Drosophila melanogaster: one gene and its partner. The protein of the gene in region 2 interacts with the protein of the main gene of each other region in a pairwise test. Each region holds a gene or a part of one and is shown on either strand. Other genes may lie near its edges.

Region 1 (4,213 bases), on a different chromosome or scaffold from region 2:
ATATCCTAAGTATCCCAATTGGATTATTTAATACCTGTACAATACTTGTTCTAATTGGACAGCGTCTAGAACATCAAAGAGTACAGGAAAAATCACTTTAAGGTCTTATTAACACAAAAGATTATTGAGTTTTCTAGAAGTCTCCAACTGTTTTCAGCACAGTTTCAAGGAAATCCAGCCAAAGATTTGAAGTGAGCATCAGTAGACTTACATCAGCAAGAGATTAATATAAACAATTGCTTCTATTAGTCACAGCTTCGGACAGCACTGCTAATTTAAGCTACTTTCCAGCCAAATAGTCGGGACAATAGTTTGGCATCACTGTGCACAACACTAACACACACGCACACAGAAGCAGTGCATTTGCCGTTGGCCAGAGCGAGACAACAATAACAACAGAGTGGCACGAATGTGCGAATGCGAATGTAAATGTGAAAGTCTGCGCGCTCCTTTAATTTGCCGTTTTTCCTTTGCACCGCTCTTCCGATGTTACATTCATCTAATTATTACACTGCAAAAACGAAGATTTCGAACAACTCCAAATGCCAGCGCAGCATGTGTGTGTTTTTTGTTATTTCCCTTATTCTCAACTGCATGACGATCTGATGAAATATGTATGCGAGTGGGATTTCGAATTTGATGACGAAAGCAGGGCCGGGAATTACGGCAACAATTGCACTTATTCCATTGTACACACACAAAGGGGGATGACACTGGAAGGCGGACGCGTTGCTGACGGGTGGGGGGGTTGGATGGTGGAAGTGGTAGTGCTGGGTGGAGGGAGGGAGTCGGTTTCCAACTGGAAGTACGACCAAAAACTGACCTTCTCCTTCGACTCCTTCGCTGCTTTCAATTGACGGACGAGATCGCCTTGCACTTTGATTTGCTCCAGAATCTGCTCACGCGTATCACTCATATTCCGTGCTCGATGGCCAAAAATGAAAAACGGCAAACGGTTGACAGTCCACTGCAAAAGGCGGGCGCGCGGCGTTTCAATCGTCTCGAATCGACACGGCGATTTATGCTGTCTTTTCCAGCTTTCAGCTGCTTTTTCTGCGCTGCTGGCCAAAAAAAAAATTCGCACGCGGTGGTCAATGTGACCGTTCGTCGCGTGGTGGGAAAACGTGCGCTAGTGCGAACTCAAACCGTGGTTGATAACTGGGCTGGCGGACATGTAAAGTGTATAATTTATAATTTATTAACAACAATCAACACACGAATGCTGGCCACTGTTAGTAATATTAACTGCACTACAATTTATTAGCTAATTTTATCGTTTTTTTTTTTTTTTAAATAAAAATGTTCATGTCACTTGATTGCGTAAAGTTGATCTTGTTTGTTTTTTGTTTTAAACAAGTTCAAATAAGTTAAAATAAGTTGATTCGATTACAGCACAAACTTATCTATCCTAAAATCATTAAATAGAATATTTTTTGTCAAAACTACATATATTACAAATCATCAATTAAAAAAAATATATTTTTTTTTAAATAGCAAATCCTGAAATATTTTAAGAAGCGTTTTTTGTTTAAATTGTTGTTTATTGTTAAATTGTTTAAAAATCGAAAAATTCGAAATGAAATATAAGATTGGAAAAATGTTTTTTACTTCAACATTTAAAATTTCCCTGCCCAGCAGGCGATGTGCTTAGTTTCATTGGTATATATTTAAGCATCACCCTTAGATTCAGTATTCCTTCGACACCGACTGACTACAAACTGAAATTAAAAAAATAGCATTGAAAATTAATAAGACACGCTACACATACACAAACACACACGCACACCACACACGAGATGAACAAGCCGCAAAAGCCCATCAAGGTGAAGCGCGCCAAGCGGACCGGATGCTCCAGGATTCAGCCGCAGGAATTCGTGGAGGCTCAGGTGGAGAACGCGCGCAGGGCGGTGGAGCGCAAGCTGATCTACCTGTCCGAGTCGAACAGAGCCAGTGCATCCACTCGGGCGGCCAAGCGAAGCACGGCTGGCGCAGGCGGAGGAGCAGGGCGGGAAGGATCGAGCATGGCTGGCCATGCCCATGGTGAGCGTCGCAGGCGCAGCAAGAGGAGTCTGCTACACGCTCCAGCTCAGGAAGAGACCGACGAGGAGGAGAGTTCGCCGCTGGAGAAGACGAACAACTACGATAACAGAAGACGCAGCAGTTGCAATCGTAAGTTACAAATACATTTGCATATCGTCGATTTGGGATGCACCTTTCTATATGATCTTGGGTATTATTCAAGCTAGAGACACCAAATTTGGTATACAATACGTTATTGGTTATTAGAACTCTTTAAAATCTTGAAACAGCAGTATATATTTATCATCATTACATATATCATCTACTTAAGACCCTTCTTTCTATATGATCTTGGTGCTTAGTTAGGCAAGAGACACCAAATTTGGTGTACAGTACTTTATTGGTTTATTATACTCATATAAATCACGAAACATAAGTTTCAAGTGCAATTTATTTTAAAACAACGATTACAATTGTAGGTTATTAAATATAATCGATTTGGACACCTGTTATCTATATGATCTTGGGCCTTATTAAAGCTACTAACACCAAATTTGGTATATAGTACTTAACTGATTAATATAGTATATTAAAAGTGATATTAATTTAAGATCTCATATTGAGTTAACCAATTCTCCATTCTCCATTCTCCAACAGTATTGCTATCTCCTCGTCGCAATGGCCTCACGCCCCGGAACTACGAGGCCGAGGCCGAGGCAGCGGAAATGGAAGCCATTATGGCCGCACAGCAAGCCTCCAACGGAACGACGAAGCCCGATCATGATGAAGGAGATGGCGGGGAGTATCAGGGCGGACCGTTTGGCCGACTGCAGCTGAAGCCGCTGGGCAGCTATGCCACGGACCAGCAGCTGCCCAGCTACTCGTGCGGCGTGTGCGGTGCCAAGTTTCACATCCGATCGCTGCTGGGCGCCCACCGGCACACCCACGACGATGACTTCAAGGTGCGCTTCCGTGCACGGCGACCGCGGGAGAGCAGAACCACCCTGACCACCGTCCATTTGTGCAAGTACTGCGATCGCTCCTTCGACCTGGAACGCACGCTGCACATCCATCTGCTGAGCTACTGCAAGAAGATACCGCCGCAGCAGCGCCGCAAGCTGGCCTTCACGGAACTGGCGCACGAGAAGAAGGCGCCGTTGCCCAACTTTCAGCGGGCGCAGCAGCCGGTTCACCACCAGGGAAACAGTGCCACCAACCAGCAGGATCAGATGACCCAGCAGGAAAAACTTCAGAAGATTATCATGCGCGAGTCGGCAGTGCACGAGCGCTGGCGCTAGTCGTCCTCATTACCAATCTTCACCAGAAACTGGATGCAGAACCAACGCTTGCTTCCAAACACCAGAAGAATCCATTGAAACGAAAGGAAAATTGTCAAGTGCAGGGCGTATGCAGCTCAACTGTATTTGATTTGTTTACCAGGATCATCAAAATTTGTGGAATTGAAGGCAAAATTATTAGAAGTATGAATTGAGCACAATGACACGATTAGTGGGAGACTCACCTGTTCTGAAGACCGAAACACACACTGGCGTTGAATAGTCACATTCCACAAACGACGGTCAATTAAAACTAAATTAAGAGTCCCCAGCACGTTGATGCAAATGTATTGAATATAATTAAATATTTGAACTAAACAGAAGATTTACTTGCAATGAATTGTCATTTCTTAGATACTTGGCGGAAAGGTAAAAGAATCATAATCCATTGAGGCTTTAAAAGCATAATAAGATACTAAAATGGGTATATATATTTTTAAATTTATCGAAAAAATCGATGAGAAATCGCTTCCTCTCTAGTCCACTATCTAATATGTAAAGAAGAATGATATCGATGTATTACAGAAGCGCTTCGATACCCAGCTCGAGCAATCGATACGATAGCTGTGCATCGATACATTCGCTCAATGAAGCTGACTGCACGCACGTCCGTTGCGTCACCGGCGCTACCTTGCCTTACCGTTTACCGTTCACCGTTCACCGTTCCGTTCCGTGCCGAGCTTTGGCGGTCAAGCTCAAAGTTTCTGTGCGCTATCTCTTTCGCGCTTGCGGCGGCGGCGGTGGCGTTGGCGGTAGTGGGTCGTGTGCAGGGAATACAAGATAGGCGATGAGCGGCAACTCGGGCGGATCGAAGCCATCAGTCGATCGCAACAGGTGCTGGTGGTCACAGGCGGGAG
Region 2 (4,847 bases):
ACATACACACATTTGTTCAAACAAATACTTTTCTGAATATGCATGAGAAACCCTATAAAATGAACTGGTGAATGTATTAAGGTGTATGAAGTAAATTTTACCCCCTTTGAACTCTACCCAGAAATTTTTGAGAAAGTTGTCAGCCAGGTTTTTGTGTTAAACCAAGTAAAATGTATACATATATGAAAAGCGCGGTATAATAGAAATGAAATGTGGTCTGCCTTGCTTTATTGGATAGTACTCTCCTGTATTAATCGCAATGTATCACTCATTGGTTTCTTTTATTTCTGTTATGCCACACTTCCTGTGGGCTGAGTATAAAATGATTCCAATTTTAGATTAGTTAAATTAAAAAATAACAAAAAGTCCTTGCCCTCATCCCATCAAAGCCATCATAGCAGCATTGATAGACATGTCAATGTGGCATATTTGGCTTGCATGGCTCTGGTTACTTAATTTAAAAGACACCCAACGATTATTGGTTTGAAATTGCTTAGAACACGCAAGTACGGTTTTTCCTTGTTTTCTTTTTTTTTTTTTTTGCAAAAGTTTTATGTATTTTTACGGTTGAGTAAGTAAGTAGGCGTTGATCCAGAAAATTCGATTTTCGTCGGATCAAGGCAGCCTGCTACAACATAATATAAAAATATTAAGACGGCGTTGGTCGCTTGTACATAACTATCCAAAATAACTATATTCACAAAGTCAACCGTCCACCAACTAGCACCATTTTGGTTTCATATGTCTTGATGTAGCCTGAACCAAAGGTTCAAAAACGCACCCATGCTCACTTACGCGCAATTTTAAGCTACTTGTTTGGGGCGTAGAAGATTCTGATGCAGGAGCTATCATGATGCGATTCGCAAGGCGTTTATAGTGCCAAGACGGTATTGCATTTCAATATGTTTGCGTGTTTCTTTAATGCCTTGTTTGGTTTCACATCTCGTATCCCATTCATTTTACCGCGGTAGTCCTCGTACCTTCTCACGTGTACATGAAAAGCTTTTTTGTGCGCAACAAGTTTCTAAACAAAATTCTGAATTGATAAATGATATTGCAAACAGTTTCGGACTCGATTTACATTGAGTCGAGGCCGTTCGTCATTAATTATTTTTGTGTAAGTCCTTGAGGGCAAGCAACGAAAAGTTAAGGTTTTTGACATTGCATTGCAATATGCTCTTTTGTTCATGCTAACAGAAAAACTGTGGTTTCTGGCTTAACATCTTACAAGTCTGAGATAAACGTCATAACGTCTCATATTATCACCCATATATAGTATCAAAAATCTTCACATAAAACGTAGCCAAGACAAGCGATCTTGGAAAGAACCCGAAAACTTCCACAAGTTGCCTCTCGAAGAGGGCTCATAATAGATTATTGGTACGTGCTGCGAGACAGGTTTCAAGGATGTAGGATAGGACAGGCAGCACACGAGACTCATTAATCCTGTTGGCAAACGGGTGCCCGGGTGGCCTTCGGCTTCCTTGCCACGACTCATTTGTGCTGAAAACTTTCTGTTTGATAAATTGCCCATAATACAAGCACACATTCTCGCTTCTCTTACAACTTTGTGTGGGGCCAATCCCAAACCATGTATAGTCATGCCAGAAGCTGCAAAAGGGCTGGTAGCTGTTTTGGCCTGAACTTTTTCGATAGATAAACACTTAACACGTTTTTGCCAGTAATCTAAATACTCCCCTTTTGGCGAACATATATTTACTTACCATTCAATCATATTTGTGTGGTGGCGAGGAGAGCACTTTAGCAACGGGTTTTCTGCAGCCCTTTGGCGTTTTAATATGCAAATACTTGGGCGTCGGTATTCTCTTATTTTTCTCAATTGACGTGTTTTTTCTTTGCAGTGCCATGTCTGTACACAATCTGATACCGTCACGTTATGTCAAACTTATGGCTGATTTGATTTGTGCGATTGTCACGTTTTTGTTTTGATTATTTAATGCCATGAAAGACAACTTAAAGTCACGGTAGAAAGTTTGGTCTATAAATAATTTGAATTTTATATTAAAGAAAATATATAGACCTTTAAACTCAAAGGCATCAAGTAGTAATTATTTGTCTGCATATTCCGGATCGCTATCACTAGTAAGGCTCTGATTAATGCTTATGTTATTGAGAAATCTGTCGTCAGCCGATTCCGAGTCCCCTGTTACTGAGCTTGATAAGGACGGTGATGTCCTACCAGAATTTTGACCTGAACTAAGTGCTGAAGGCTCTGCGTAATTTTCTCCAGCATCAAAATCCTCTTTATTATTGCCGACCCAACATTTTTCGCACTGATCTCCGTCGTCCGATTCACTCATGTCTTCCTCTTCGAAATCACCATAAGAGGATTCAGATTTAAGGAGCGTGTCCCCAGGTGGCAAACTTACACTACCTTGATGTTCATCTGATCGACATGCCTGCGCTTCCCATTTAGAAATGCACTCTTAGTTTCTTTATGTTTGTACTTACCGTATCCAGATTTCGACTTCTACACACGATTTGAGCGTCATGCAGCTCCTTCATCAAGGCATTTCTTTCCAATGAGTGATACTCGCGTTGAAGATGACACTCGGATTGCAGCTCTCGGTTTTGTTTGCGTAAGGAAAACATTTCGCTCAAAATTTGATGCTGCTTCTCAACTATAGTAGTCACCAACTGCTCAAGGTTCTCAATTGTAACTTCGTATTCGCGTAATTTCTTTTTAAGGAGCCAGTTCTCTACACGGCAGTCGGATAGACTTGAGGCCGACAATCTAATCTCAGCAGCATTATGCCCCAATGATTCTTTATTCACCCTAAGAGAAGTCCAGTGGTAACAAAAGATAAGATAATTAAATTATCACTTACTCGTTGAAAGCGCTCATGTCGTCACTTGCAGGCAAAGGAAACGCTACTAGGTCTCTGGTGGCAATGTCCCCGAGATCATGGTATTGGCAAATACAGGACATTATTCGATAAATTTGAAAGTATTCTAAAGCATTAATTGCACCAGACTTTTAATACAAAGCTAACTAATTTCTCGAGTAGAGCGTAAAAATGGGTTAGTTCTAATATTACAAAACGCTGTGTTTCTCTGTAAATCAACTTTGCGACAATAATAACCGATTGTCCTCCTGTTTTAAATGTTGATACTCCTCTCAAAGCTGACTTAAACTGCCCGAACAGATATGGGTGTCAGGGCATTTCACTTTACAGACTGCACCCATCTACCGCTCGCTGCGTCCCCTCAGCCAGTGGACACTTTACGACTTGACATTTTCACACTTTGTTGGCAACGTTTTGGAAGCTTCCTACACTTTCCTCCCTGTGGGGCACAGCAACTGACTTTTGGGTCGTCCTTGTTACAGCGTCAAAGCCAGCGTCGATGCAAGCTCCATGAATCCGCTTGGGATCCGAGAAGTGCAAGTGTGTGGCTTCAGCTGAATAGGAACTGTATAGGTATGAGACACTCCTTTTTTGTGTGCGTCGGTGGATTGAAGTGCAAAATTGGTTTAAGTGTTTGCTAAATTGGCAGCAAAATGGCTTTTTCAATTTATCCTCAACGTTTGTGTGCATACTCGGAAAAGGCAAACGCTGTACAAAAAGTTAAGCAAGATAAACTAAGCATTTTTTACCACATTTTTTTGGCAACTGGTTTTATATAGCTATGTTGTTGATATTTCTCCGTTTGTTAACTTTTGCAGTGCTTTGCGAAGTCACCAAAACGCACCCATAAGTGAACTCTCATCCGGATACGAGCACGCATTACTCGCCTAGGTCATTTCACACTCTTACTATTGACGCTAAACGTTTTCAAATAACTGTATTTTTTGTGCACACATATCTTAAAGTAGAGATAATCATGGCTTGCACCGAAGCCACTATTGCAAAGCACATATACGATTGCTCGTATTTTACTACAATTAAAGTCGTATCGTAATCGTGATACCTCAACAATGCCAAATTACTACGCAGGCCATGTTAACATAAATATCTTGTGCCTCCTCTATTTAAGAGTATCTTGAGACTCAGCCCGCCCTTGAGGGATGGCCAATCTATAATCGCTCAACCTTAAACTTAAACTAGAGAACGCATGCAAGCGTTTATTTAAAAAGGCATAAGTCATACGTGGCTAATAAATTGATTTACTAGAGTGGATTAGAGTTCATTGCTATGACATATACAGGATGTTCTAGCTGTACTGCTGAGCAGTGATCTTCGTTGTTGCTGTCTTTAGGGATAGTGAGCTGGCCCTCGTTGGAGGCCCCTGTTAGTGCAGCACAAAGCGAACTTTTCATAAGTTTAACTATGTGAGCATTTAGGGGAAAAGTGTTCTGCCCTCGGTAAGAGCAATGAATTGTAGACCCAAAACGCTTGGCGGACTCCTTCCAGGCTCAATCGCACTTCGTACTTCGAGACTTTGGCTATGAAAAAAAACTTTTAAAATGCCAGTTTGAAGTCTATTATTTGCTGGACACGAGCATATATTGATTGCATCGCAGTCGCCTCGGTCAGCCACAAGATGCAAGAAAGCAAATTGCTTCAACAAATACTCGTACTCCCGAAAGGGGCTTGAGATGTGGAGGGTGATTTTGATGGGGTGGGGTGGGTTGCGGTGTAGGAAATCACATGGTAATCGGTGGACTACGAAACTGAAACCAGAAATAAAAATGCAATCGAAGCCAAGTTTCGTAAAGAGGTCTTTCAAACCGGTTTTCAGGCGCAAAGTGCAGATCCCCCTGTGACGGTTTGCAGAAAGTCTTCGGTTTCTTGGCGGCTTCGTGTAGTGCAGCATTTAGCGTCTTGATCGGTTTATCACCGATTAATTAGAGTTTGATAAATACGCGCACGCCGTGAGTTTATAAA

The links.
Region 1: the proteins of lov (region 2) and CG6470 interact in a two-hybrid assay, tested with the Drosophila melanogaster proteins (one large-scale study listed by BioGRID).

Annotation. Positions count from the first base shown.
Region 1 is NC_004354.4:18,512,293-18,516,505, reverse strand, and holds CG6470 (uncharacterized protein), read left to right. Parts: upstream 1-1,638; 5' UTR 1,639-1,796; coding exon 1,797-2,169; intron 2,170-2,676; coding exon 2,677-3,317; 3' UTR 3,318-3,677; downstream 3,678-4,213. Other genes in the region: HisRS (Histidyl-tRNA synthetase), read right to left, coding at 824-916.
Region 2 is NT_033778.4:25,136,592-25,141,438, forward strand, and holds the start of lov (jim lovell), read right to left. Parts: upstream 3,037-4,847; 5' UTR 2,951-3,036; coding exon of another isoform or gene 2,850-2,950; intron 2,798-2,849; coding exon of another isoform or gene 2,473-2,797; intron 2,421-2,472; coding exon of another isoform or gene 2,070-2,420; exon of another isoform or gene 2,036-2,069; intron 1-2,035. Other genes in the region: CG43106 (uncharacterized protein), read right to left, coding at 2,070-2,420, 2,473-2,797, 2,850-2,950. UniProt on the Drosophila melanogaster protein: Has a regulatory role during midline cell development.